Linked DNA regions of Neodiprion lecontei. The protein of the gene in region 1 binds, or shares a complex with, the protein of each later gene. Links are inferred from orthologs where the notes say so. Each region holds a gene or a part of one and is shown in the gene's direction. Other genes may lie near its edges.

What was found.
Region 2: the proteins of GPI transamidase component PIG-T (region 1) and GPI transamidase component PIG-S are in contact, whole or in part, in a cryo-EM structure (PDB 8IMY), measured with the Homo sapiens proteins. The link is inferred for Neodiprion lecontei from reciprocal best matches to the Homo sapiens genes PIGT and PIGS. Residues at the interface, in NP_057021.2 of Homo sapiens: Pro26, Arg27, Val63, Ser64, His65, Tyr66, Arg67, Lys71, Gln75, Lys79, Tyr80, Val133, Gly136, Lys191, Leu193, Pro194, Cys195, Ser196, Lys198, Ala199, Glu270, Pro271, Pro273, Leu274, Tyr526, Ile529, Cys530, Cys533, Val536, Ala537; in NP_149975.1 of Homo sapiens: Thr9, Glu12, Val13, Gly16, Ala19, Ala20, Phe23, Thr230, Pro238, Lys239, Tyr244, Ile247, Glu248, Val251, Gln256, Val270, Asp271, Ser272, Gln273, Ile274, Tyr276, Tyr277, Met279, Ser309, Arg310, Ser313, Ser314, Ala315, Ala316, Phe513.
Region 3: the proteins of GPI transamidase component PIG-T (region 1) and phosphatidylinositol glycan anchor biosynthesis class U protein are in contact, whole or in part, in a cryo-EM structure (PDB 8IMX), measured with the Homo sapiens proteins. The link is inferred for Neodiprion lecontei from reciprocal best matches to the Homo sapiens genes PIGT and PIGU. Residues at the interface, in NP_057021.2 of Homo sapiens: Tyr361, Gly362, Leu363, Gln364, Lys365, Arg394, Leu395, Tyr396, Val397, His398, Tyr416, Pro418, Ala419, Gln420, Asp421, Arg422, Gln445, Glu447, Leu450, Leu451, Lys452, Trp453, Thr454, Pro518, Thr519, Pro520, Asp521, Phe522, Ser523, Met524; in NP_536724.1 of Homo sapiens: Glu30, Lys42, Arg43, Val45, Glu46, Ser49, Leu50, Leu53, Val55, Ser59, Gly60, Ala61, Val62, Pro265, Asp266, Leu267, Pro269, Leu273, Trp275, Tyr276, Phe277, Phe278, Ala279, Glu280, Met281, Phe282, Glu283, Phe289, Phe293, Asn296.

The regions. Positions count from the first base shown.
Region 1 is NC_060264.1:23,622,620-23,633,317, forward strand, and holds GPI transamidase component PIG-T, read left to right. Parts: upstream 1-4,946; 5' UTR 4,947-5,104; coding exon 5,105-5,411; intron 5,412-5,975; coding exon 5,976-6,150; intron 6,151-6,305; coding exon 6,306-6,537; intron 6,538-6,663; coding exon 6,664-6,831; intron 6,832-7,055; coding exon 7,056-7,353; intron 7,354-7,475; coding exon 7,476-7,628; intron 7,629-7,725; coding exon 7,726-7,972; intron 7,973-8,214; coding exon 8,215-8,464; 3' UTR 8,465-8,644; downstream 8,645-10,698. Other genes in the region: CD109 antigen, read right to left, coding at 9,036-9,250, 9,364-9,466, 9,594-9,765, 9,864-10,039, 10,119-10,271, 10,532-10,698. UniProt on the Homo sapiens protein: Component of the glycosylphosphatidylinositol-anchor (GPI-anchor) transamidase (GPI-T) complex that catalyzes the formation of the linkage between a proprotein and a GPI-anchor and participates in GPI anchored protein biosynthesis.
Region 2 is NC_060262.1:30,732,656-30,742,180, forward strand, and holds the start of GPI transamidase component PIG-S, read left to right. Parts: upstream 1-4,308; 5' UTR 4,309-4,678; intron 4,679-4,833; 5' UTR 4,834-4,886; coding exon 4,887-4,932; intron 4,933-6,098; exon of another isoform or gene 6,099-7,388; coding exon of another isoform or gene 7,389-7,643; intron 7,644-7,822; coding exon of another isoform or gene 7,823-8,201; intron 8,202-8,329; coding exon of another isoform or gene 8,330-8,659; intron 8,660-8,967; coding exon of another isoform or gene 8,968-9,093; intron 9,094-9,188; coding exon of another isoform or gene 9,189-9,253; intron 9,254-9,339; coding exon of another isoform or gene 9,340-9,454; intron 9,455-9,525. Other genes in the region: protein I'm not dead yet-like, read right to left, coding at 7,389-7,643, 7,823-8,201, 8,330-8,659, 8,968-9,093, 9,189-9,253, 9,340-9,454. UniProt on the Homo sapiens protein: Component of the glycosylphosphatidylinositol-anchor (GPI-anchor) transamidase (GPI-T) complex that catalyzes the formation of the linkage between a proprotein and a GPI-anchor and participates in GPI anchored protein biosynthesis.
Region 3 is NC_060260.1:40,144,883-40,154,746, reverse strand, and holds phosphatidylinositol glycan anchor biosynthesis class U protein, read left to right. Parts: upstream 1-3,130; 5' UTR 3,131-3,219; intron 3,220-3,297; 5' UTR 3,298-4,358; coding exon 4,359-4,491; intron 4,492-4,558; coding exon 4,559-4,761; intron 4,762-4,881; coding exon 4,882-5,629; intron 5,630-5,737; coding exon 5,738-5,991; 3' UTR 5,992-6,264; downstream 6,265-9,864. Other genes in the region: uncharacterized protein LOC124293564, read left to right, coding at 7,384-7,406, 7,900-8,230; ejaculatory bulb-specific protein 3, read left to right, coding at 8,313-8,490, 9,618-9,808. UniProt on the Homo sapiens protein: Component of the glycosylphosphatidylinositol-anchor (GPI-anchor) transamidase (GPI-T) complex that catalyzes the formation of the linkage between a proprotein and a GPI-anchor and participates in GPI anchored protein biosynthesis.

The DNA.
Region 1 (10,698 bases):
ATGTGGATTGGGTTTCTACAGAATTTTTGGGACAAGTCCCAGGTAATAAAAATTTTTTGACAGTTTAATCTGTCGCGCCTTATTGCGCGTAGATTAATCATAAGAATTGGACGCAGCCTTTTGCGCGTAAATTAATAACGGGAATTGGACACGTTTTTTTACTCATCGATTTTTCAAACAGTATATAAAAGAGTTACGCACTCTCGATGTGCTGATCTTTCAGCTCTTCTGTCAATTTTTTTACAAATAATAAAGTTTTCAAGTTCCACGGCGCCCTTTGCGCGTGGACTTGATACCTTTCAGTTATGAGAGAAAGCGCGGCAGTTGAAGCCCGGCGCTCAAAGCCCAGGTACAAAAATCTCGGTAGTGTATAGTGATAGTAGAGAATCTTGGCGTACAGAAACACTCGTTTAACGGGTGCGATCACGATTTAGATCGTTTAACGGATATTATTTTCTGTTTCAGGGCAACATAACCAATTTTTTTAACAAATGCACTTAGAACTAAAGGGAGCTTTCCAGCAAGGAGACACAGTGTGACACTGTGTTACACGGTCGAACACTGTGCCTTGGTGCTTGCTGGAACGCTTTGAGGATCTTAATTCAGTCACTAGAGTCCGCTCATGCATTATACGAAAAATCTAAGAACATCGAGCGCTCCAAGAAAAAAAAAACATTTGTGAAACGCGTGTAGATTATCATTGCATTTAATAAATAAATATAAACAACATCATGCGTCGAAAATAAAATCTCTAACTAAAAAATTGGCAGCAATGAATCCGACACTGTGTCGAACCATGCTCCGCAGCTGTGTCCGACTGTTGGCCGTGTTCGAAAATTGACCGACAGTACTGTCGGCAATCTTTCATCTCTTTTGCGCTTCCAAGTTCATGGATAGCTCTGACTCTGTCCTAGGGAATTTTCAGCACTGTCAGTCAATTTACGAACACGGCCTGTGTCGTTGTTGGAAAGCACCATATACGACACAGTGTCGCTTTGTGTCGTTGCTGGAAAGCTCCCATAGAATGTTCAGTTGAAAAACATATTCACTTTAATAACCCAAAGCAGAAAGCGATTTCCATTCAAAAAATTCATAATGTTTTTTATTCATCCATATAATTAATAATTGAAGCAACGAATATTAAGGCGAATATCATGTTGGACTCGACCCATTTGTTATCAGTATGTGGACTTGTGTGATTGTGCCTACCATACCTTCGTCTGTTTCAGCTAATGAAACTTTCTGTCTGTTTCAGCTAACCAAACCTTTTATCTGTTTCAGCTAATCAAACTTTTCTGTCTTTTTCAGCTAATCAAACTTTTTGTCTGTTTCAGTTAATCAAACCTTTTGTCTGTTTCAGCTAATCAACCCCTTTTCTCTCTCAGCTAATCAAACTTTCTGTCTTTTTCAGGTAATCAAACCGGTTGTCTTTTTTAGTTAACCAAACCTTTTGTCTGTTTCAGCTAATCAAACTTTTCTGTCTTTTTCAGCTTATCAAACTTTTTGTCTGTTTCAGTTAATCAAACCTTTTGTCTGTTTCAGCTAATCAACCCTTTTTCTCTTTCAGCTAATCAAACTTTCTGTCTTTTTCAGATAATCAAACCTTTTGTCTGTTTCAGCTAATCAAACTTTTAGTCTGTTTCAGTTAATAAAACCTTTTGTCTGTTTCAGCTATTCAAACCTTTTTCTGTTTCAGTTAATCAAACCTTTTGTCTGTTTCAGCTAACCAAACCTTTTTCTGTTTCAGCTAATCAAACTGTCTATCTCTTTTAGCTAATCAAACGTTTTGTCTGTTTCAGTTAATCAAACCTTTTGTCTGTTTTAGCTAACCAAACCTTTTGTCTGTTTTAGCTAACCAAACCTTTTGTCTGTTTTAGCTAACCAAACCTTTTGTCTGTTTCAGCTAATCAAACTTTTTATCTGTTTCAGCCAATCAAACCTTTTGTTTGTTTCAGTCAATCAAACCTTCTGTTTCTTTTAACTAATTAATTTGTCTCTTTTTCGTTAATTATATATTTTACTTATCTGAGCGAAGTATATTTTTGTCTGTATCGACATATGTCACGAATTATATTGTCATCTGTTGCAGGTAACTGAGTTTCATTTACTATACTGAAAAATTAACGAATTATTTTTTAGGCTTAGGTCTGGTTCGAGTCTGATTCAGGATTACTCATCTTGTTTTCACCGACGCATAGATTTAGTGATGTGGTTAAGAATCATCATGATCACAAAGTCTGGTAAAATTTATTCAACTGTAGTTTCTTTCATGGTTTTAGTCTTTAATTGCGATTGTTTAGTGTCGGAGTTTTTTTTCTCGAGTCGCTCATAGGTCATGTTCGGTTTGGTACTTCACTGTAGAATTATACAGCTCTGTCGTATTTTGGTGGTTGTGCTTATTCTACTCCGATTTGTTTCCATTTCTTCAAGGATTTTTGCATCGTCTTCCGATAGGTAAATGCCAATGTCTTACAGCGATTCGTGTTTTCGATCTTGGTTTACTTTTTGATTGTTTTGCGTATTCACCATGTTCTCCACTTTAGTGATTATCTCATACCTCATAAGAAAAAAAACTTGTGCGCGAATATCCAAAGTCAATCACCGTTCACTTATAAGATAAAAACAATCACCCTTCATCTATAACTAAAACAATCATCTTTCATCCATAATTATAACAGTCATCTTTCATCGATAATAATTAGTTAGCGGGTTATATGAACTGAAAAATTTCTAACAAACTGCAAATATAGGCGAGTACAAATTGACTGGGGAAAACAATGTACCATAATTAACATGTGAAAAAACGTTATCTTCAATTTTTCTAAGAACGTAAGATCGATCTTGCAAGTATTCTCCGTGGAGTAGGCCTACTGGGGATACCACGTAAAAAAAAAACGCGCCGGGTGCTCTACCGCTTGCGGTGGTGTGGAAATGAGCATAAGTGAACTTATTTTCACTGGTCAAATATTAATATATTGTAGTTTTTCAAATGAAAATTTTATTCTTGCGTAAATTTAACTCATTGTCAATACAACTCATGCTTCGACAATGTGTAACGCGTGTGGAATCGTAATACCTTCGGATTTCTCTAGTTTAGTCAGTGAATTCCACGTAAATACCTTTTTCTTTTGATAAATTTCGTTTCTTAATTAAAGTCAACAAGGTGCACATACCTTTGGCAATTTAGAGTATGGTAATTCCAGCATTTTTCTCCCCAAATTCACCTTTTGCAGTTGATACAAGTCGTTACAATAAAACACAATATTTCCATACCAAATGAGCACGTCTTCCGCGACAAACGATCAAGAATAAAAAAACGAAGCTCATTCAAAACCGGCTACTAAAAATGACAAAAAGGACCGTGTTGAAATTTTGTACGTTCAAGATACCGGTAATCTGTATGAAAAACCTATTGTTCCAAATGGAATACAGTTAGAAATTAACTGCCATCTTCGCTTTTGAATCTATATTGTAGAAAAATGTTTTTAAATTTTTATGACAAATTTGTATACTTGGTTGATTTCTAGATTACTTAACCAAATCTACTGTTAAATACATTTTTCAAAACCTCATTACTTTCACATATATAAACAGAAAGGCAACTAATATGATAACTTGCATTTTATAATATTATTAATTGGTTTTAGACTCAATGAAAATGCATTTTATAATATTATTAATTGGTTTTAGACTCAATGAAAAACCACAAAAATGTGTTGTCACATTATGCATATAAATTTATTACTTCCGACTGAAAGGAAATGATGCGTCAAGAACACAAATCACAAATCAGTTAAAATAAAAAATATGACTCTGAGTGGGAAAGATTTTCAACGGGTGATTATTGAATTATTGTTACTTACAATGTAATTGTGAATAAAATAGTGTGTACAAAAGGTTGTACTGAGTAAGATAATACATAATACGAGTATGCTATACATAATTTTCTTATACCCCGCAGATACTTGCCTAGGAAACTGTGAAGGCCGCACTTTCAGAGGATACATTCGTAAAATGCGAAAAAAATGATGCATCAATAACTAAACGTTTTACGCATAAGTAATCAGGAATACATATTCTCTCAAACTCGAAATTCCTAACAATCAACACAGGCACTGCCGTAAATTTATAATAAAGTGAACAGATATGAGTAATTATAATCAGGGCACTTGATAATAAATTTTTGAACAATCTTGTGTTTGGGGGTTAGCGGGCAGAGTCGCAATCTAACCAAATAATATGAGTAGAAGTTGAAAAAAGGAACCTTGATCTTCTTTAAATTTTTTTCAATTGCTTTTGTGATAATGATTGCCTGAAGTTCATTAGGGTTTGTTACAGCATAGATTCAAACATTAATAACAATCGAGTCCTACCTAATTTACAAAAAATATTTACAAGTAGTATTTTTGTGTAGAAAGGTCTGGGTTTTCCTCTGCAAATACACTGTATTTAAAAAAAACACGGAAATCTAACGTCAGTTAAGAGCTTATTTTTATATGTCAGCTGTATTTTCTTTGGGAACGAAGATATGAGCGTTGACTGAAGATACACGAGTTAAGTAGTAAACATAGGTATGTACATAAATTACATACGGTACATATAGGAATAAATATATATCTCCATCCTTTGATTAACTTCTTTGATTCTGGCTCCCATCCTTTGCATCAAGAAAAGGTTTCTAACGCTGTTAACCGTAAACCAGGTGCATATTTATTGTACATTTATTTAGATGATATTATTTTTGTTAATCGGATGGAGTTTATTTGACATGACCGAGCAATTGATCAACGACCAATCAAATGCTTAGAAAGAGACAAAACATCGGCCGCGTGTGTTTCCTTCTCTCTCCTTTTTGGCGCTGCCACAAGCAGTACCAGTGAGTGCGCAGTCTATGCTCTATATTTTACGGCTATGCTAATACTAATAACTAATAAGGAAAATGACGCAGAGGGAGGTACGCGGGGTGTGTAAGTGTACCCAGTAAAACAATTATTTTGAAATAAACTTCCACAATTATGTATGCAAGTCATTAGTCAGCGGCAGTGAGTCCTGACTGGTGGAAAGACGATTCGAGCGATTTAAGTGCGATTAACTGGTGGAGGTTATGCGCATAGCCGTATATCCGAAGTGCGAAAAGTTTTTAACCTCGATTTGCGAATGGGCGAAGGGTTGCTTAAAAGTAATCCAATTGCAGTTACAATCGTGCGCGAAAATGCGAACTGCGTTTGCGATGTACTTTATACAGGCGTTGATATTGAGTGCCATAGGAGATGTCGGATTCGTTTCCTGTACTTCCGACGTAGATGATGCCTTCAACGAGGAGCTTATGCTGAAGCCCTTGCCAAGCGGACACGTCTACGCACATTTTCAATTTACTACCCTGTGGCGGACTGACATTGAGACTGAAACCTGTATGTACTACGTATAATCCGTACATACGTTCTTCTATATCAGTGTAGATGCATGGCCAAACGTCATAACCTGGAAAACGGCGGTACTAAGGTGAGGTCGGAGTGCTGACCAGATGAGTTAATCGTATTTTACAATTTTCTTCCCTCTTGAATAAAAAAATCTTTGGGAAATAATAGCGTGCACTATTGTGCTTGGGTGATGATTTGAGTAAGTTCGAAAAATTGACGCAAACACTGAACATAACCAGATTTTCACTCACTTTGAGGTTATGGTGTACTGATATCCGAATCCCATGGTTTGCGCACTTCTAGATCAATTTTCGAATTTTTTTTGTCCCAATACACAAATACGATCGCAAACACTGTCATTCCCCAACATTTGAAGTATTTTCCTTGCTCGTGAGAGAATAGCGTTCTGAAATTAGATTTTCTCACTTTGTTGGTACTTTAACCTCGCTTTAAGTTTGACACTCTATTGTTTCATTATTTGCTCATTCTTTGTTTGATCGCTCTATTCTTGAATGCAATTGATCTATCGAATTGCATACATCTTTCTGTATACAGTCCAACATTCTCGGCTATTTCCTCGTGGGTTAGGGGAAATAATCGGCCGGCACAATGTCAGAGAACTTCACGTCAGTTTGACTGAAGGATTATGGCGTTACGAGAAATGGGGATATCCTCTTCAAGATACCGGTTCTGGCGCCGAGGTTTATGCCTGGTTCAACGACGACCGAAGGTACAATAACTTACTATTATCTACCCTAACGACAATCACTCAACAACCTTGACATTTCAAAGAGTTCTCATCTTCTTTTCATCGATTGCCTTTCCTTGGGAAATTTGTATTAGTACCATATTTGATGATAATATACTCGATATTCTTGCTCTTAGGATCGATGAGAATTGGAAAAGCTTGACTAATGCTCTTGCGGGTTTGCTGTGCGCGTCGCTCAATTTTGTGGATGTGTCCAACAGCTTGTCACCTGATTTTACCTTTCGACCCAGCGGTGCTATTCCAAGACCGCTAAACTCTAGCTGTCTTCGATATTCTTCGCTGCCAAGAGAAATAGTTTGCACAGAAAACTTGACACCATTTAAAAAATTACTACCGTGCGACTCTAAGGTATGAACAAGAAAAAATACTCTGACAATATTTAACTAACGTCGAAATCACAATATTTTATCATTTTCGTCTTTGCTCGTATAAACAAAAAATTTTAAACCTATTCAACATAGTTTTATCCCTTAGAAAGGATTGGCTACTCTCTTGAATTCAGCATATATCCATAACACTAATTACCACTCGATAGCTGTTGATGTACGACCTGTATGTACCAATGCAGCATGCACGCAAACTACCATTGAACTGCGGCAAACAATTTCATTGGTCTACGACACTATGACAACTGATTCGCAGGTATGTACATATGGCATCGAATAGCAGGCACATTTTTATGAAAAACTCATTTTGGTTGAATCTTATTCTTTTGTATCATTCTTGATCCTACAAAATGAAATAGACTGAACCTTATCTATGAATTACCAAGTTAAAAATGCTGGATCCAACGTGATATTGGAATCCTGAAATAATTTTTGGTTCACAAAATAATATGAACATGGCCAATACTTTCTGACCTGCAGGACTGGTCGGTGCGAAAGCTTTTCGGCATTGGACTCCGAAGCGCTTGTCCATTGGCCACCCTGAGCCGTGTATATGTAGATGTAACCGATAATGAGACATCTGAAACTTATCGGCTAGTGCCTGAGCCACCGGAGACTCTAATCAGCTTACGAGGAGGACAAGAAAATAGAATAGCTGTGTACGATATTAAATCTTTGTCCAATGCCGGGATGTTCAATGTCGCTGCTGTCCACAGCAAAGCCAAAATTTATGGAGTCGAAATTCCACCGGTGCTCTTTGCAAACAGATATGTAGTAGGTGTGTCTGTGTTTATACTGTAATGGACTTGATCTTTATTAAACTGTAGTATTATGAAATGGACGGTCATTGTTCTTGACATAGCAGGATCTGAATAACTCGTGACAAAACGCTGTTCTCAGGCTATGGTCAAGAAAGAGGCGGCCTGGTGACAAAACTCCATAATAATTACTGGAAGCCATTGGATGTCGTGCTCCTGGAGAACATTCCATGGTACATACCGGTCTACACTCATACCATAAGGATCACCTGCCAGGGGAAATTACTCAAGCCTCGTATGTCTAGATTTCTGCGAGTATCGTTTGTTCCCATCTCCATTCTGTAAATAATTTTTTCTAATCCTTGGTTCGTGAATTTTGCTCGTGGTTTCAGTAATCAAGCGATACGTGCCTGGTAGAGAAAGGGAACGTCCTTACTACCTCGAAATGGTTCTGCGACTTCCGCCGCGTTCTGTAACAGAGTTTTCAATAGAATTAGACTATCTTTTTCTCAAGTGGCAAGAATACCCTCCGGACGCTAATCACGGGTTCTACATGGGCCCTGCAATAATAACCTCTCTTCTCCCAACTGCGAGAAATTACACCGCTCTACCTCAGGACGGAAGTACTATTTCATCCAGGTAAGGAAACAATGATCGATCAATTATTGAACAATATTCCGTTAAGCTTCGAGGACCAGGAGGTAAGAAGAGCATTACCATTTAGGGTGGCCACTGAGATGTTAAACCTGGCAAATTGAGTAATTTTTTTTTTTAAACTGGTCAGCACGGGATGTTATTCTGAAACATCCGAAGCTGTTTCCTGATTGGTCAATGCAGCAAATATAATACAACCTAAAGCCATCATTATTGTGTGGTTGCAGTTTCAATGCATCTCGGGACGGTTACCTGGTCCAATTACGGACTGAGATTCTACTTGTCAGTCTGCCAACGCCTGACTTTAGTATGCCTTATAATGTTATTTGTCTGGCTTGTACGGCCGTGGCACTGGCTTTCGGACCCCTCCACAACATAACAACAAAGAGGCTTGTTCTCAAGCCATCTAAGAAAAATAAACTAGTTTCTTACATCAGAGAGAAACTCTCCAAAACAAAGGTAGATAAGATAGAGTAGATATGCAAAGTTCTCTTCAGTCATATTTGCTATTCGCTCCAAAAAAGAATACTCCGTACACACTATTGGATCTGTCGCAAAGGCCTTGGCGACATAATATCATGAGTTGTAAAAATAAAAACTTGAAGCAATTAGGTAAATAAATCAAACAATCGATTATCTGGTATTTCTTACATAAAATGTTGGCATATTTCATTTCTGTAAATGCAAACCTTTTGAAACACCAATATACCTCTGTAACGCAAGACGGAAAAAATTCAGAACTCGGCAAATTTGGAACGAATCTGTGAGGCACAGTAGAGAACACAAATATAACATATAGTTAGATTTTATTGTGAACAATTCCGATACTAATCTCATTGTATACATATAATATACAATTGGGTACGTGACAAAAACGAAAAGATAAATGGACGGCTTAAAAAGTTATTCGAATATCTCGAATTGCATGGTATTATAGTATATTACTTACTTTGGTTATTTTTAATCGTAATTGCTATAATTTAATCTTGAAAAGTATTAGGTACAATTATAATGGAATTGTATAACGTACGGACAACTTGATAAATAATCAGAAGAAGTAGAAGGATGACTTTGCAAACATAATGACAAACAGTAGAGCAGGCGACGAGAGGTGGTACATGGTGCACGCACTCCCCCTCGAACCGTCGTTTTCGTTTTTCTGATTGTCCAAGACCCCTACACAAACATTACCGCAATCTTCGCCATCGCAGATATCGCACAGCGTAGCCTTCTGCGGTTCATAAAACACTCTCGCGCGTCGACCTGAAGTTCAAAACAGATATATTAAGCATTTTGTAGGTTGTTCCCTCTCAGAATGCGATATTCTCCCACAAATTGCTGATAATAGTAAGAATATATGCAAAATGCTGTCTTACTTGAGTCGTAGTAGTCATAAATTGAGACTGGAACAGGCTTCTGTTTGGCAACCTTGTGAGTCCTGAACGCGGACACTGTCGGGCAATACTCCTCTCTTATCATCTGCGAATTGTTTTTTACTAAGTTATACTCTTGTAATGGATATATATAATAGTACATTGGTCTGAACTATACAGATTCTGCACGTTCGTCTTTTTCTCACCTAATTAATGACTTGCAAATCGCTTACCTTGTCAAAATACAAGACTACCATAGTTTCTCCATTTTTGGTCTCGACTCGTTTAACATGCTGCGATATTTCCAAGCTCGGGAGGGAGTCAATGTCGACAGTGAATCCCGACGGTAGACTGACTTCCATTACAGCCATGTTGCTTTCGTTTGCTTCTTTTGTAGGGACGAATCTGGTTGAAGGGGATAGTGAAAGTAATTAATTTTACTCTAATGGCTATCGTTTTGCTAATGCTACTTTTGGCATTGTACGTCAGACATTTTGTCGTACCCAGAGCAAATTGAAAGCTGCAAGTGATTAGCATTTGAATTTTTATCCACTTGAGGGTCGAGGGTGAATAGGGGCCATGCACCGGTCACATTCAGATTGTAGCTGTACGATACTTGAATTATTGCAAATCCAGTGCCGGTAGCCGTCAGGTTCACCTCTCTAGTTTTCCTGGGCAACTAAACGAGACATGGGATGTGGTCAAAAATCTAGTCCCATATTTCCCAAGTAAAAAAAGGGTGTGACCAAAAAATATACCATATGCTTCTGAAGAATCATATTATTGCCTGGGTTGATATTGATATTGCTTTGACCTCCGTCTTCGTAGACAAACGATATGGCAATGTTGCTGTTCTTGGATGATATTTTTTCACTCAACTTAGATAGCGCATAAATTCCGATTACCGTGTCCTGCAAATAAGGGTGAGCCATCCAATAAGCGAAATGTGCAATTTTCTATGTACTATCGACTTGAAAAATCCTTGTTTTCTCCATGAAAGTGGATGATAGCTCTTTCACAGTTCTCACCAGACATTTTTTTATTGCATGAACACTAAGTTATTCCATGTTCATTTTGTTTAACTATAGACCTATGTATCTGGAATTAGCATTTTTCACGTCGATGATAGATGAAAGAGAAATATTGCAACTTGCAAAATCGTATCGCGAACCTGTGTTGAGGCGAATCCTCCATCTGCGTTTCTCTGACTCACGAGCCACTTCATTATGGGTAGTGAATCGGCGACCATGTTTCGTCTGAGGTACGTAAGCAATGCATATGAAGTCATCTCAACATCTACGGAACTTGGTAACGAATACCAAGGATTCTTGTTGTCCT
Region 2 (9,525 bases), on another chromosome or scaffold:
CACCCAATCAATTTTGCATTAACAAAATGTTTGATTTTTTTATCGTAGCGTTTCTCTAAGCAGACATATACATTCTCAACTATGAAATTCAAGGTCATTCTCAATGAAACACTGTTAGCAGAAGAATAGATTTTTAACAATTTCTGTTTCCACACTTGGTCAGGGTTATCTTTGGGGATTATTTCCACAGATCGACACATTCAGATCAACACCTTTGATATGCATCATATACTGCATATCAAAGGTGTTCATTTGAATGTCAAAATCAATATACAATATATATGACATGCATCATATATTCATATAACATCGGCATACTGATTATAGCCGATAAGATATGATTTTATCAGCTATTGTCCAGTTTCTCCATGCTCTACTCGCAGTTGAAGAATTGACCAATCGACCCAGCCATTCACAGCGGATGTCAATCAATTCCTCTATACGTAAGTTGACTTCAGATTTGTAAATTCTGATCCCTTATTGTTAGTGGACAAAAAAGGGCCAAACAGCAAGCTATATACCTACTTCCTTCTTACAGCAAGAAGAGAATTCGGAATGAATACCGAAAAAGGACAAAACTAATACGACGATGCTGCAGTCGCGAACAAGTTCTTGTGAATGCAAAAAAATTTGACCTAATTCACTGTATTAAAAATTAATCGACGTGCTATGCGTTGACACACTTCACCTTGGCCTCAAGTTCGACATGATTGCGTTACATTCAAATATCCAATCACCGAACGAAGAAATTCAGTTGACTCGATTATTTATAAACTGATATCGTAGCGACGTCAGAAGGTGGGGCGATACGAGAAAGGACTCATGTTTCAGATCTGGCGATTTATTCGTTTTTTTACTTTCGACCATTTGTTGTCGCTTACGGAATTCAACCTTGATACACCTCCCCACTGACTTTGACCGCATCGGCACGCAGATTACTGGATTCACGAGGTTTAAATCAGTATAAAGAAGCAAAAGATTGATACGGGATATGGTGTACGAAAATAAGAAAAGACTTGCACGCTACATATTCACGAATTGTTGATTCATGGCTATTTGCAGCAAGTAATACCCACGAAATTTATATGACATATTGTTCATACAGATAAACACAAATCATTTTTCCTAAATCTTTCCCAAAACATACCCAAGCAGCAAGTCAGATTACCGTACAAACAGCTATTTCAAGAATTTTGTTTTATTCTAAAGACGCTGTATGATGGGATTGTTCTCAATGTTGCCTACAATATACGTATGAGATTACACTTTCTGTAAATTCTCATTTTGTTTGCTACTTATTGTGTAACTTGATCTTACGTATCCAGAGCCTGCTTATCATCAAACCTCTGCTTTTATGTAACAGTATAACATCAAGCGACATCAGTGATTCGGGAAACCGTCACTCGATGATCACCCCACGTACTATCAATAGTGTCACTATGAAACCACTGATCGCCTACTTCTTCAGAGTTACTATTATCTATTCGGAAACAATCCCCACCACTTGAACGACCAACTTTAATTTAAACACAAACACCTCAAAATCAAACGCTTCCAAAATATTCACAAGTCGGTTAACTGTACCGGGAAAAGTTGAGGGAACCGCAATAGCGATCGCAGCCTGCGTCTTAACTTGGATTGAATCAATCTTTGATTTCTTCGAGCAATCAAATGTTCGGTTTCATATGAACTGGCACGTCGTCATTGCAACGACTACGTCCTTGTCGTTAAATGGGGATGGATTGAACAAGCTCGTTGTCAACGTACGATTGGAGGATGAGATATTTTTTTCATTTTACCGCAATGTAAGATATTGTGTAATCTATATAAGTTAATATTCTGATTGCGAAAATTCTGATTTGCGATAAAATGCGTGATAAAATGTCTGAGCCCTGCTCGAACGATGCAGTGGCTAATTGTAACTTCTGGTCGAAATGGCAGGATGTGTGGATTGTTACTTGAATATCTTAACATAATAGTTTTCTGAAAATGGTCCTCACAAAAATTAATCTCTTCTCATCTCTACAAAGGTATATATAAGTATAAAATTCAATGTCTTTCTGACTGTCTCTTCGGATGTTATCTTATAACTCCAGAACTGCTGAACCGATATTAATTCTTTTTTTTTTCTTTGTACAGCTACGGCGTCTGCTCGGGTTTTATAGGCCATATTTCGTTACAAACAGATCAATAGTTTTGAAGATATAAGGGATATTTGTAAGCCAAGTCAGGACAGGCTATTACACTTATGCGAACGCTGACTAAACTCTTACAGATAGAGGACAGTTATGCTGAGGAGTTTTCAATGTTTCGACAGGCTAATTTTCACTTCATGAAACTGACCATTAGGTATCGAGTTTTATAAAGTTCAAGAACAGCGAGGTTTCTAACCAATGATTCCACTTTTTTGGCGATGGCTATGTATACTAAGTTCCAGCTGAAAACCGGTTGGTTTGCGGTTGGCTGCAGTTTTTTCTTCAAGGTATCATTACTGAATCAATACTCTTTAGCCGTTTATATTTTGTCTTACAAGCTGAACGTGTTGTTTTATATATCAGAACATGCCGTTATTCAGAGAATGCATGAACATTTTGTCCCAAGCCTAAAGTGAGGGCATCAGTTTAGCCCTATAACCAATCAAGCATAATCAAATATTTTCGTGGAAAATTTAATTCGCTGCGTAGTACAACCGAAGATGCAGAGCATTTTGTGCCCGTCCAATCTGCGAAGAGGCATCCGTATAATATCTACTTATGTAATATATCGCTAATAGCCTATTAGTATATATTGTAGTTAATCGAAGTAATTCTTTGTACAAATTGCAATTAGTAGAATACTGGAGATGATAGATTGGACGTCCGTCTTCTTGATAAACGATTCGTCTGACATGCGAGAGATTCATGCACAATTTTTCCTTCGCATTATCAATCTTTGCATCGTATTTTATTTATCATGTGCATATATTCTTCGAACTATGTTAATGGTATACGTGAACAAGCGGCATTACTTCGCTTCAACCGCTGTATCATAATTATCTTACGTGTCGCATGCTCAAAAAAACACCTATTCCGATTGATGCACTTAACATTGCGAGTAATTATCTTCGACGAATTGAAGAATCGAATTTCATGTAGCTTCTATCATTTATGTGTCTAAAGTGTACTGCGAATGTGGATTGTCAATTGATTTTATGCTGATGCCATATTAAACTTAAGATTTGTAAAACGATACTTTGCATATCTCAGAAAAAGTTACAAGGCCGACTATTTATTCCCAAGGACAAATCATCGCACAAATGAGTGCCCATACATTATCCACTTAGTACGCACCGTGCAGCATGTTACGACTTCATTTACGTTGTCGGATAAAACGCAATATTTTTACCACATCCGGAATTTGATTACGATATGCATCAAAAACAACTTGCCTAAATGTAGTTAACCACATTCAATTTCTGTTATTGAACTTACTAACTTCAATAAAAATTCATTTCACGTATCAAAGCGGCGTACTTTTATAAAACGCAGATCAGTGCAATTACTTTGTCAATGCAGCTTGTGAACTATTTATCAGAATGTAGATTTCTCAATTGAACTATCAATGATCTGTAATCAGCAATGGTGAGTATGTTTTGAATAAGATATTGTAGCTATTGCGTTTACATCAAACAGCAATACGCGTTATTTTCGGTTTTCCTGTTTTATCACCACTTAACGATCATTGATTGCGTCATTATTGGTGGCAACGTCTGTATCGTAGTCGTTAAACATTAAAATATTCACTTCTCGGTGAGATCGCATAATTAAATAATTGGTATGAAGACTACACAGCGAAGTTAGATACTCTGTCTAGGTCTAAAGTATATTTTCTCGCGAATCGCAAACAGAATATCCGTTTTCCTAGAATGGTACGTGTGGACATTGATATCCATTAGATTTGAATATAACTGCGGATTTCTATTATAATATGTTAAAAGACATCTTTACAGTTAATTGAACCATAACTCCGATGTGATTGACTTTGTTCCATACTATTAAAAAAAAAATATTCGTTTCGATCTGACATTCTTAGCAAATAATACGTTCACCGAAAATATTATTATATACCGTTTATGCTTGCGTTCGTTTTTCGCAATATGAATGCAATTACACCGAGTGAATTAAATAGTGCGTTGACAACATCACATGACGCATTATAACGTAAAAGTGCAATTGAGCTGCGACGAATCGAACCTTATTACATCAAGCGTTGTATATTCTGCAGTCAACGCACCAAGGCTTAATGCCGCGTTCAGATTATATCACTCAGTCGGTACGTTTATTTGAGCTACAAGGTTTCACGGGCGACAACTTATCGATAAAGCAGACGTGATAGGCGCTGTCTTGAGATTTAATGATCTGAACGTATCATAAAATTTATATTATAAAACTTCGTAATGTGACATCCTAAAATGGCAATTAGCAATATTTCGAGGTGTTTTCATTTTGCACCACGGATGTGTTATAGGCAGACCTTTATAGGTATATCAGTGTTAGCACCAGTGAATGTGTGCCAACTCTTAGAATAAAAAGTCACCAAGTGCAGTCTGCTTACCTCTGCTTCATCAGTGGGTAACTAGGTTTACGGTGTTGTTGAGTGTTGTGTTAGGTTGTGTATTCGCATGATGGACTAGTCAATTGTACGTGAATCTAAGGAAAACACTCATTTAAGTATTTCTGGGCATAAATTAGAGCTCCTGAATATCTGCATTTCTATTTTAACGATAATTAACAAGTCAAAAAATGCCCAGCTCTATCAATCAATTAGTTAAAATCTGATTACATACATTTATAGGTTATCTGTACACCGCTCCAAGTCGAAATCTATTCATTGAAGCTTTGATAACAATGAGTGATAATTCGGGATCCGTAGGATACGATACGCCTTCAGATGGTAAGATCATGCGTCTCATTTTCACCCTGCTTGTGAGAATTACTCGCTCTATAATTAATTGTACGGATATGGAACGTACCCTCAGCATAATTCAACTCCGATATAATCGCTCGACGGGCTTATTCTATTGCTCTGCTACTGGCACCTAGAGCAGATTACAAACATGCAGAAAGCGTCGATGTCGAAAAAGTATTCGAGTCGGAGAGAGAACGGAACGTAATAAGACTAGATGCTCTTTCTTTCTACGTGTGCATTAGACAAAGAAAGGAACTAGTCTTACTACTTTCCTTTCTATGCCATTTTCCACTTACACGAAAGTGTATACCAGGAATTCTCCATTTCTCTATGCCCTAAGCATTGACACTATATAACCGCAATGCCTAAAATTCTAATTACCTAGTGACTGCTGAGATGGCGCCAATTAAAGAAAATTGTAATAGTTCTCCAGGTCACTCCAACATATTAGCACTGTTGTAATTATATATAGAGCAGGCACATTTGATCAGATTGAACTAAACACAGTACTATAAAAACTATGGAACAGAAGAATTTTTTCAAACTCATGCAACAGTTTACGGAAGCAGAAATAATTCTTACCAGTAATTTATGACTCCAATGCAACTCCACTTCGGTCACATGTTCACACCAATAATGATATTCTTCATAATATAGTGTTCACTTTTTTTCATTCACGGTAGAGTGGGTTATCTTGCATTAGGAAGGAAACTGTAACAAGTGAAAAAAATCTAGTACAAAATATTCTTTTTTTTAGTCTCTGTACTGAATAGTATATTATTACTGCATCATTAAATGAGATTAATGTAAAATTACTTGTAGCCTTCATCTGACAATATTAATAGCTGGGCAGGCAGAATTGTGAATTGTGAAATCAAATACTTGCATTTTTTAGACAACCACATACATAAGCACCGAGTACACAGGTGCACTTTACTATTTCCATTAGACAGAAGTAGCTGTTGCTAGACGGTTAACATTTATTCAATTTCATGATTTCTTGAACCTGAAACTTGAGTAATACCTGCAAACTAGTCTGTATACCAGCTTGTAACGCAAATCATTCACCTGGATTTCATTTCATTCTTTCAGTCTGCATCTGCCATTGATTGGAATAGTGGAAAATCCTATTCTACAACTTTTCTGAACGCATTGAACTGAGTCAACAAATTATTAGCATGTTATAAAAAAAAAAACAATTTCAAGTATGAAAGAAAAGGCGTTGGTCTTTAAAATATTTACGAATTAAATTTTCTTCTTAATATCAATCCCTTTTTGTTCAGTTTATACGCAATAAATGATGATTGGCCTTTGTCCTTTGCTTTGATAATTTATTCTAATCATTTCGTTCTTACAATCTTTTTAAATCATGGTCTGGTAAGTTTCAATACTTATTATTTTCATTCAAAAATTTCTTAAATTTATTTTCTACCTGTTGTGACGAATACTAAAACTGTTATCTTTTTGTCATACGAGTGTCAAAATGAAGCTATTACACACGAAGTCGAACGTCTAACTTAAATTTTTTTCAACGTTCGGTTACGTTACCGTTAAGAACTACATTGTACGTGATTTATATTAGGAAACCTTTCTCGGTTCTTTCACAATCGAAAAGTATATCATATAAATACCCTATAAACTGTGATGGGCGATTCGAAACTATAGTAGAGTTTCATGGAACGAAGAATTTAGTCTTTCTGGTGCAGACAAACATCTTGCGTATATGTACCTGCACTAATCTAGAGTTCGACACGTATAAAAGGTGATAAACGCTACGTGTTTCCTACCCCAGTAGTTGGATTTATTTTAAGTGGATGTAGAAATACTTATTTCTAATTAGATACATTACGTCTACCAAAAAAGCTTCTGCAATATTACATTTAATGTTTGCTTTAAGCTTTTTAGGTGCTTTGACATCCCAATTTACTCCTCCCTTTTTGAACAGATGTATTTCAAATCTAATCCAGAGACCGGTCAGGACAAGTCCGATCAGGTATTGAATACATAAATGTATTATCCTGGGGTTCCACGCTTAATGGAGTGAAGTAAAAGTAATATATTGTGAACATGCACTGCGTACCTTCATACAACCGGAATTGTATATGTCATTCATGACTGTAATCGGATATTAGATATTGAAGTTGGCGCTATGGTCTTACTAACTACATTAACTTGCTTTAAAATTCTAATTTGGATATACAAACAGGATAAACAAATTACGAGGCTGTCGAACTAGATCGTTGAACCATACAATTTGCTTATGCAAACTTTTTGATGAAAACATAACGCAACGCGTCCCGACTTGGCTCACTGAGCGTGCGCGACAGAATAATCAGGTATTAACGTTTGTCAGAAAACTTAAATAGTCACAACAGTCGTCAGTCTACTCAAGCTTTTATGCAAAAAAAAGTAATGTCTACCGTGTTTGTCCTCGACGACAGTTACGATTCTGCCCAAGATGGGAATTCGTTGGCGTTGAAAATTACATTTCCCCAGGTCGGAAATGAAACAGTTACCACAATCAGCGTGATTAGAGTTGGTCCAATACCAGCTACTATGAAATCTTTGGTTTTTATATGCCCGGCAGCACTTACAATAGCATTTGGCGGTGTTCCAACTGGTAAGTGGAACGAAAACGAGCAACAAAAAGTAGCTGGTAGCATCAGATATAACGGATGCAGCTTTATCGCTACACACTGTAAACATGAAAAAGAAACGATTGTTTATCAAGCTTAAAGTTTAACCTGAGATAGAATTAAATGTTAGTGAGTTACGTCATAATCTCATTCATCGGCAATAACTTTCCAGAGTCCTGATAAATCGGTAGTGTTTTAAGACTGAAAAATAGAAAGTTTCGTCACGATTCTTCACTTACCAATTCGGCAACTACAGGTAACACAATGTTGGCAATAGCAACGTTGGCGGTAAACTCTGTAACCGTTTGAATTATGAGACAAATCACAAATAAAGTAGCTACTGGGGGTAGAGACTCCAAGCCAGATAATGCGTTCCCTAGTAAATCCGAGAGTCCCGAGGAGGTACTTCCCTGGGATATTGCAAAACCACCGCCAAGAACGAACAGCAAACCCCAATGCATTTTTGTTTGAATTAGTTTCCAAGTTATTAAACCCTGACTTGACTTTGTCGGATATTTGCTTGAATCCTTACTGAATGCATTGAGAAACTCCAATTTTGATGGAAGTATAAACATGAGGATTATGACTAACATTGCTGCGGTAGAATCTTTAACAGACCTGTAGTATGAAATTAAAGGAAACATTACTCACGTAATACTTATAATAGAATATCAAGTATACGTAGCTGTATCAAAATACAAGGAAATGTGAGTTTCTGATTTTTAGAAATTTCCTACGGCACTTACATCTCCGTGATATAATCGGGCCACCCTGTAACAAATCCGGGATTCCTGAAGAACCACAAAAGAATTACGAAAACGAATAAAACGGCAACAGATAATTCGTGCCACGTGATCGGCCCTAGGTCTCTGTATTTTTGTTCGATAATTCTTTTCGCAACTTTTTCACCCTCTGGACCAATATTTATTGCCTGAGAGTCTTTGCTGTTTGGTCTAAACATTCCCATGTACATTACTTGCAGCCACAACCAGACTAAGAATCCGGAAACAAGCATAGGCGGAATCGCGTAACACATCCAATCAGAAAAATTGATTCCGGGGCTGTCTGGAAAACGGCTACAAACAAAATAGTTTTCCAATGAAACCTTGAATATTCACAAGGTTGAAGTTAGTTACGTGATAGCAACGAAACATCTGGAAGAAAATGCTCTATTTTGCAACTTTAGAACGACTTTGAAAAATGCAAATTTATAAAATATGACCATGCCTCGCTTGCTTTACTACGGTTCACTGAATTTCAGACAGTTATAAATTTGCAACAAACAATTTTCCTCAATAACAACTGTTAAAATAACGCTACTGACTTCAACCTGATGAGAATTCGCATTTGGCAATATAACATCAATGGAATAAGTTTCACTTACGATTCATAAATTCCTTTAAGCGTTAAATTGGAACCAGTGGCCACCATGGTACCGATACCACCGATGCTAGATGCATAAGCCGCGATGAAATAGTAAGTCATCGTAGCATTCGTCGGTTTTTTTGCGCTGAACATGATTTTAATTAAATCCATTAATCGTTTATTAATTACTATAGTATTTGAAAAATCTTATTGATACGGCTATTACTGAAAACTACTCACGGTTGACCGTCTTCATTGCCTTCGGTATCATTTGCGTCTTCGATAAACATTTTTCCCAAACCTTGCTACATTAGGTAAAAGTAGTTGAATTAGAATTTCATACGGATATCAGTTACTTATCGATATAACAACAACATCAATCTGTACTTACAGATTCTAATTCCATTAGTACAGTTTCAATAATTGGAACCATCATGGCCGTAGTTGCAGTGTTTGAAATCCACAACGAAATGAACATAGTGACCAGAAAAATACCAAGAGTTAATCTTGAAAAAGTGAAATTGATTTAACTATAAAAAACATGGAAAATCAAATAATTGAAAGAGGTAATATATGC
Region 3 (9,864 bases), on another chromosome or scaffold:
GAGATCTTTGTGGCACTATTCCGACGATATTTGGTGTGAGAAATCGATTGGGCGCAGTCCGAATAGGATACGAGCAACGCATCAATAGATGCAGCCAAAAAATCAAAGACTCTGCATCGTCATTTTTTTGCTGCTGATCTTTCCTGCGTATCTTTTCTGCCGTTGGTTCTACGGTCTTTGCGCTGCGTTTTCTGCGATCCTGAGGGACCAATTAGTCGGATAAGGGTCATACAAATCGGTTCTGGGACAAAAGATTTGTTGCCCAAAAAAAAAGTAAGGCTAACCCCTTTGCTTTTTCGGCGAAAATTTTCGCGATTTTGAAAAGTGCTGGAATAAATTATTTATGGCACTATTCCGACGTAATTTTGCGAAAGAAATCGATTGGGCGCAGTCCGAATAGGATACGAGCAACGCATCAATAGATGCAGCCAAAAAATCAAAGACTCTGCATCGTCATTTTTTTGCTGCTGATCTTTCCTGCGTATCTTTCCTGCCGTTGGTCCGACGCTCTTTTTGGTGTGTTTTCTGCGATCCTAGGGGTCCAATTAGTCGAGAGAGGGTCTTACAAATCGATTCTGGGACAAAAGATTTCTTGGCCAAAAAAAAAGTAAGGCTAACCCCTCTGCATTTTTGGCTCAAAATATTCGTGATTTTGAAAAGAGCTGGAATAAATTCTTTCATGCACTATTCCGACGTAATTTTGCGAGAGGAATCGATTGGGCGCCGTCCGAACGCTCCTCCGAACAATGGATGATGAGTGGCCGAAAACCGTGGAGATTTTCTAGTATTTCTTGAGCTGGTCTAATTCTGTTTTAGATATCCTCTTTGCATTTCTAAGGGTCCAATTAGTCCTAATGAGTCGTACAAATTGATTCCAGGTGGCAAAATTCCTGAGTTTCAAAGGAAGCAACAAAAAGCAAGGCTTTTTCCCTTTCAGCAATGGATGAAGAGGATGGCCAGACATGAAATTTGCGCAGGGTGTTAGAAAAGGTGGAGAAAAAAAATCAGAGAAAACAAATTTATAGCTATTAAGTGTCAGCTGTTTATTCAATATGCCTTACTTCTAGTACAAATATTTATGAATCAATGAATATAGTTACTTAACAAGTTACGTAATAGTATAAAAATATAAGACAATAAAAAATGTAAAAGTATGATCGAACATTGTATAATAATTTTGATTATTATAACAGGATAAAAAAGTGCAATACCTTATCTCAAGCAGAATATGAAAAATATTGTATCAGATTGTCATTATCGTAGCTAGTAAATTATATTTTTACTATTTCATGTAACGGAATTGAAATAAATAAATAATTGAATTTTCTCATATTCTGTTCTCATTTTGACAACTGTTGGTCCCACGACGGTTAGAACGCCATTTTGGAATCCTAGAAGTCCGATTAGTCTAGAAAGAATCGTATAAATGGGTGGGAGTCAAAACTTGGAAAAGTCAATACTTCGAATGGCCAATATATAGAAATTTCAACCACGTGAAAATAAAATAACGAATGATGAATTGTTCAAAATCTTGATTTTTGCATGTTTGAAATCTCAGTATATCCACCATTCGAAATATTGACTCTTCCAAGTTTTTACCACCACCCAAGTATATATAGATTCAGAGATGAAAAGTCTTTTGCCAAAAAACTCGTAAAAAATGTAAGCCTAACCCCTTTAACCCCATTAAAAAGCCCTTTGAATTTTTGCTGAAAGTTTAGATGATTTTCAAAGATATTGGATCACTTTGATGCACTATATCGGCGTAATTTTGCTGTAGGAATCCATTGCTCACAGTCCGTACACGCTGCAAGCTACGGATGAAAAGTTACAACAAAAAAATGAAAGATTGTCTTCGTAATTTCCGTGCTGTTGGTCCAATGCTCTTCTTGCTATATTTTCTGCGTTTCTGGGGTTCTACATAGTCTAGAATTGTGTCAAGCAAATCAATTCTGAATCTGAAAATATTATGCTCAAAAAAGTACAGCTAATTCCTGTGAATTTGCGGTGAAACTTGTGACGATTTTGCTTTCCTATAGAGCAGAGCGTGCCGAGAGAGATAACGATGATTATATTAGGATTGTTTCTTATTCGATGGATTTGAGACAAAGATTTATAGTTGTAGGTGACTGTAGATTGAAGGTGGGGATGACTCAAGGTCACCGCAAAGTGGCGCACTCGAGATGAGTTTGTGCTCGTCTAGTTAGGGCATGTTTCAGTGGCTAGAGAGTAGAGACTAGAGAGCAAGAAGGATAGAAGACATTGAATGAAGAACTTGCCGGATTGTAACCTCAAACAGAAATTTGCGATTCGCCCTGTGAATAGTAATCAATATAATTGATAGTCAAGCACGAATGTTGCGCTGAAACGGACGATTGAACATCGGAATTGATTGGTGATAGCACACGCCAGGTGAAATTTGCAAAATTCTGAAAATAGGACCCAGCTATGTTCGGACGTGTGATACCAAAAAACTTTCGTAACATATCGGTACGTAAAAAATTTAATTTGCAGCATTGGCTCATCGAAAATCTTCAAAACTTCAATGTATAAACAAGCTAAGAAACGCCTTGTACTTCCATGCCTTCGACGAACCTTGATGGAAAACTGCTTATTTAATTACTGCAAACTTGTAATCAACTCCTCAAAATTTTCCAATATCCTCTCCAACCATTTATCGAAATCTCTCTGTTCCGACGCCTCCATGCTAAGACTGCTAGTACAAGCACGTCATTTGAATTAGAGAAAAATGAATAAAGCGAAAGTGTTCCAGCTTCTGTCACGAGTTTGGAGTGGACCGAACGGAGCACTAGCCGGCAAGCAAGCTGAACAGAAGATGGTCACTATTCTCAGAGATAAGTTTCCCAAAGCGAGCCTCATTGAAGTTACAGATGTATCTGGTGGGTATCTACCAATGAATCTGATTTACAATCACAGAAATTATTATTACATTGTTATTGTACATGTTTTCTACTGTTTAATAACATAGTTTCGCTAAAAGAGGATAATATATTATGCTGCACACACAAAAATAATATTAGAGTGTCGAATGTTACCTTGCAAAATTAACCAATGTACTATTAATGTATATAAATTAACAATGTAACTATTATTTTCCTGATTCACATAGGAGGGTGTGGCGCGATGTTTGAAGTAAATGTGGTTGCCCCAGAATTCAGAGGACTCAACACAGTTAAGCAGCATCGGGTTATCAATGAAGTATGAACTCATTTGATTACTACTTTGCAATATTCAGCAATTATAATAGTTATTAATATTTGACGTGTGCAAATTCAGTATAATCCTTGTGTTTCATGTTTGCTTATAGATTCTGAAGGAAGAAATTAAAAACATGCATGGTATTCGTATACATACAAGTGCTCAGGACACCTAGACTTTTTATATCAAAAGTGCTTCAAATTTATGAAATGAAAAATACAGCGACATGTATTTGGATATAGTTAACTGGATTTGGAATCAGTTGGAATTGCGTATATTTATACATATGTCACGAAGTTTAACGCATTCGAATTACTTGCGAGAGTGCATTTCTCGCGAAAAAATAAAAGGGTTAGCCTTCCTTTTTTGCGATTTTTAGAGTAATTTACCTCAGGTTCGACTTACAGGACCCTTTTCTCACTCGTTGGTTCCTAAGGAATTCAATAAAGATATCTAGAAAGTACGAAGACCAGCAGCTAATTGTAAGCAAATACGAAGAAAAACCGACGAAATCCATCTAAAATCATCTTCCCGCTCTATCTTTTAATCCATTATTCCTAACTATAAACTATTCGCATTCGTTTTCTTTTTCAGATTTTTTTTAAATCTGCACAATTTTGTAGAGGAAAATGCAACGAGGTTAGTTGACTTTAGTCTAGTTTATTAATTCTTGTGGGTTTTACAATTTGATTTTCGTCTTATTTGGTACGTTACCTCCAGACCCGGCAAACCATTACGAAAAAGAACTGGCCTAGCTAGCACCCATAGTAAATAGGTATATCTGTGGCCAAAGTGGGCAAACCTTGTACTAAAAGCTGATCAAATCTCAACACTTCGGCCTATCGTCGTTGCTGTCGTCAGCACTATTAGACGCTGTGAGTCGACCCTATAGCTGTGGTATATAGTTTGAGCAAATTGCATCGAGCTCCATTTATACAAGACGATATTCTCTATGGCTCTATTGCGGCTTAATGTTTATGTGCATTAATAGCGGCTCAGGTTATGAAAAATGAAGGCTAAAAATGTCCGTTTGATAGAGTTGCTAAATAATGAATTAAACTTTTTAACAGTAGATTGAAACTGATAAACGTCAAGTGTTGTAAGACGTACAGGTTAGGGTGTGGTTGCCACCAATTATAATGAGTACTACTCAAAAATTTGTATTTTTCGCTTTGGCGGCAACGATAAGGTTGCTATTAATATATTCCGAATATCAAAAGATCATCGCTGACAGAGTCGAAGTATCCACAGCACTTAACTCATGGAAAAAAGGTGAGCGTTTCCAATGTTTTTGCTGTCTTTTGCTCACTAAGTATGATCGTTCTTATATTGTTACCAGTTACCGAGGGAGTCTACCTACGAGAAGCTGGTATCGATCCTTACACCGGTGATCTGTTTCATGAAAGTCCCATAGGCCTTGTCGTCTTCAGTTATATGCAAAAGTACTTGTCATTGTGTATGTTATGTGGCATATTTGTCTTCACGGATTTGGCCACGGCATGGATTTTGGGTGCGACTGCTTATCGTTACACGAGTGAACTAGTGAGTTGATTCAATAATGATAATAGGATCTATTTTATAATGAAGTAGAAGACGAGACTGCAAATGTACTACATCTACTAAAACATAGCCATAAACCAACATTCAACCAATTTCCTGTAGATTGCCACCGAACAAAAAGACATCCAGAAACGCAAAAAGGAATCCAATGACGAAGAATTATCAACTTTACCTTCATCAATGTCAATACCAGCATCCAGTGTTACGTCTTCCGCTTTACTCGTACCTTCAGCTTACCTTTTCAACCCATACGTAGTTTTTAATTGTGTAGGATTAACCACAACCGTTTTTACGAACTTTCTGCTATCCGCGGCTCTATATTCTATGATAAACAAATCGAGATTATGTAGTTGTTTCACTATAGCTGTTTTAACATTGCAAGGACTTTATCCCATTACTCTTATGGTACCTGCCACAATATACTTGGCGCGAAACGAAGAAGGTAAAAATAAAAATTTCCCCTACGGAAATATTAATAAGACAATAGCGATGTTCATTGGTATTCTCATTGCGTTATATTACCTCTCCTACAAAGTATCAGGGAGCTGGTCATTTTTGCACAGTACAATTGGTTTCATTTTAACAGTACCTGATCTGCGGCCAAACATCGGCCTGTACTGGTACTTCTTCACAGAAATGTTTGAACACTTTAGGTGGCTATTTGTTGCATCATTTCAAATAAACGTAGGCCTGCTCTACGTTGCTCCTCTCGCGCTACGATTTCGCCGCGATCCTATGCTCCTGGCCTTCTCGTATCTCGCAATCGCGGCTATTTTCAAATCGTACCCATGTTTAGGAGAAGTAGGATTTTATATGGCTCTACTACCAATGTGGAAGCATCTCTTTCCGCGTAAGTCAATAATCTACTATTACTGTCTCGTAATTATTTATCCCTTCATATTTGTCCCAATTTATGTATATTTTTCCGAAACTAATGCGTCAATTTTATTTTCTCCAGATATGCAGCAAGGATTCATTGTCAGCTGCTTCCTTTTGTCCTGCACAGTGTTTGCTCCAACAGTTTGGCACCTGTGGATTTATTCACGATCAGCAAATGCGAACTTTTACTTCGGTGTCACGCTAGCCTTTGCTATCGCCCAAATATTTTTAGTTACCGATGTTCTCTTTGCCAGCGTCAAACGAGAATTTTCTTTGCGACACGGGTTGTCGAGAGAAATCCACGGAAATACTGGCAAACTTTTACTCGAATAAACTCCATTGGATGTATTCTTACACATACATTCCGTGTCCAGATTGTAATGCCGATTGGAGGTGAAAAATCGGGACGCACTCTAAAGAAGATGGAACTAAACATATAAGCATTCATTTGAAAATTGAATGCGTAACGTCAATTACGACGTTCACAAGTTTTAGTTGAGAATTCACAATGAATTTATTGCGGCGAAAATATCCCCTCTGCTTGGGTAACAACAAAATCCAGTGTCATGATTCACGAACGATTAAAAATATAATTCACCAACATTAGCGCAACAAATTATTATTTCTTTCCTTCCCGCCAAATCCATACTTTGCGTCACTCCTCTGTGTATCAACAACGCGCATAATAAGCAGTGGTTCACAGTTGGAACTCCAAGGTGGTATATCCCCACTTTAGTCAAAGATTAAAAATTACTCTCACGTAACGTTGGCGGGTGAAATTTTAATATCAATGTATAATCTGCGATCCATTGAAGATGAGGAACATTCTGAACACAAGCATGTGTGAGTTAAAGTTCAAGTAAAATTTTATCTGTATTCATACCTAAATCCCAGCCTTTAGTAATTAGATTAATTAATAAAAGAAAAAACATTATCAAGACGGTAACGGAAAACCTGATACACGCAACGCACGTTCTTGCGTAAATATTGCCCGGCTACCTGATATTCCGTAGACATAAAGCAGCTTCTTCGAATCACTTTCTCCGTACGCGTGGGTATACGTATAGTTATGCATGCCATTTCGTCATGCGCTTGAGTTTTTTTTTCATGAAGTATATGCATACGAAACGGATTTTCCCACTTGTATATTACAGCAATTTGCTATGAACATTTCATCCGCATATTACAAATAATTTCGAAACTTCCGACTGCCCGAGCATCCTTTTCCGCAACTCTGATAAGGCAATTTGTCCTCACGGGAGCACTTTGTTTTTTCAGTTAGCGAAGTTACTTGGACAGGGAAAATGTTGCGGAGTTCACGGTTATAGAGATACGAAGAAGAGCTCGATATAAAAGTTCCAAAATTTTCAAAAAAAGCTTCGACTGTAATCTATGATTGAATTTTCATTGTTCTACAGTTTGAAAATTATGAAGATACCGCGCTTCGTTTCTGCACTCGCATTCTTTTGGCTGCTATGTCTACATGAATACAAAGTCGTTCTTAACTCCATGTAATAGTTCCGTGTACGCATATCTGCTGATATTTCGGTATGTTATTTTTGCTTAAACGTCTTATATACGAACACCACAATATGAAAATACAATATAGAACGACAGTGCGTTTCAGACGGTGCAGCAAGTTTTCAATTACGCAACTCTGCAGAAGTATCAGAGTATGTTGAAGTGGCTATGCAACTAATATACTTCAACATTTAAAGGGCCGAAATGTCCCCAAAAGGAGCCAGCAGGTAATTCGGCAACTCGACAGGTCGTGTTGAATATTTGTATACATAATTTATGCCTTTAAGAAATATCGTATTCCAAGGTAAAAATGTCGGTCCTCTAAAAGTTAATCAATCGTACCTCGTAGTAAAAATTATATCATGATTTTTAAATATTGTGATCCAGTCACCGAGTGTGACGGACGTCATTTTCATCGATAAGTAAATGATGTTGACTGTATTATTATTCTTACTGTGAATCACTTTTGGAAAAAAATAATTTGTTTCTTGGTAAAATAATAATAATAACAATAACAGTAGTAATACAAATAATGTATAAGCAAATTATTAAAATGTCACGTCGTAAAAACGGTACAACTTCGTAAACTCTCACAAAACGTATACGGAGGTGAAAATAGTCGCGAAAGAGAAATTCGTCGGCCCTTAAAAAAAGGGTACGAGTCTGTGCTATGTGGCTACGGCATTTCCGTAATAATTTGCGGTTTTGCGTGATTTTTAGTCTGTTACATCGAGCATCGCGCGTACCATGCTCCCGGTTCGTGGAAGATATGGATATCTGCAGTCTTCGAAACAACAAAAAGGAGAAAAGTGGTGAAAAAGTTGAATCCGCGATGCAGCGGTGGAACGAACACTGGCTGCAGTATCTTACTATGCCGCCTTCCTCACCTCCACCCGACCCAGACGTCGTCGTACTCGTCGTATCATATAAAAGGGGGCCCCCGCAGAAATATCGCACTTGGGTGCCTCCACTTTGGTTAGAGTCAACGCAGCGCGTCAAAATTGTAGATTTCGCAACCGCGTATCCCACGTTTTCTGTTTTACGTCTGTGATCTAGTCACGCTTCATTCGAATAGTAGCGTAACTAGTCGCGGTTTGAATTATACTGTTTATGGTCGGCGATTACGCGACAAAATGAAGGGGGGCGTGATTTTTTTAACTTTATTTACGTTCGTCTTCGCTAATAATTATTCAAGCAAATACGACAACGTAGACGTCGACAGAATCCTAAGCAATGATCGTATTCTCACCAATTATATACGCTGCTTGATGGAAGAAGGACCCTGCACTGCGGAAGGTCGGGAATTGAAAAGTAAGTTGAAATTCAAATTCTTCAATCATGCATTTTCGCTATGATTTCAGCATTTCTTTTCCAATTGTAGTACATTGCGTACGATACGTATATTGTTGAAATCTATCCTTAGTATCTTGTATTGATGTGCTCTTTACTTTCCACCCGTCGCCAAAATCGGTATCATTCAAGTTCGATAAACGGAAACAGTAAACACAGCAGTTTTCTTCTCGGCCTTATATATAGAGCACCGCATTGCATATGACATTGCAACAGAGTTCAACATACTCTCAGTCAGTCCGGTTACATAAGATCAATTGTAACTTTCACGATTGGCCGTTGCACTCGATCTACTCGATCGAAAACCTACAGTCAACTCGTATGCGGTGTGAAATTATTAAGCAACAATACGCATAATTCGTACATATATTACTTGCCAAAATACTCAGAGATGCAGAATTCGAAATTGAAATGTTATAGATATGTTATTTTCAGTATCTCGTTGTGACTTCCATGATTTGTATTACAGAAAAATCTAATGATGCGGAACCCGACATTTTCATAGATCTACAGCTCGAATTAAACTCTGAAATAAGATTTCAAATTATGTGACCCATGCCCCGACAGTCCGCATAACGTTGATCAGATATTTCAGACTTTAATGATGCTAAGCATATGAATGCGTATATTGTAACCTATCGCACGTAAGAAGAATGAATTAACCGAATAAGAATAAATAATTCGAGAAGCTTAATTACTGAGCACAGTATTTCGTGCCAATGATTAAAATGGCTGTGGATACAACGTGCGTAATAAATATATGACGTGCGAAAACTTTTAATGCGATTTATTGCCGGCTGAACTCTGTCAGGCTAAAGAAGGCAGTACGTGTCCGTTCAATTCGGTATTGATAATGGATTCTATTGTTATAACTTTTTATTACATCGTTTCGAGCAGAAGAATTTTTTCGGTAACAGGCGTGATTATTAAATTCAGTGGCCCAAGCTGCAGTAATACATTTATAAATTTACGCAACTAGCACATATCGGACTGTTGGTGGCATGAATATTGTTGCTTTTGACAGTATTTAATTGCATCCACGTTTACAGTGATAAAACCATTATTTACATTTATTTTGGCTTTGACAGAGACGTTACCCGATGCCCTTTCATCGGAATGTAGCAAGTGCAATGAAAAACAAAAATCTACTGCGGAAAAAGTGATAGAACATCTTAGAGTGAAACGGCCGAGAGACTGGGACAAGCTTACTGCAAAATACGATCCTCGAGGAGAATACAAGAAACGCTACGAAGCATCTATTGCGGCAAAGAAAGCTTAGTCGCACGCTAAACTTTGGATGAAATTCAATTCAATCAAATACATAGTTATTGATTA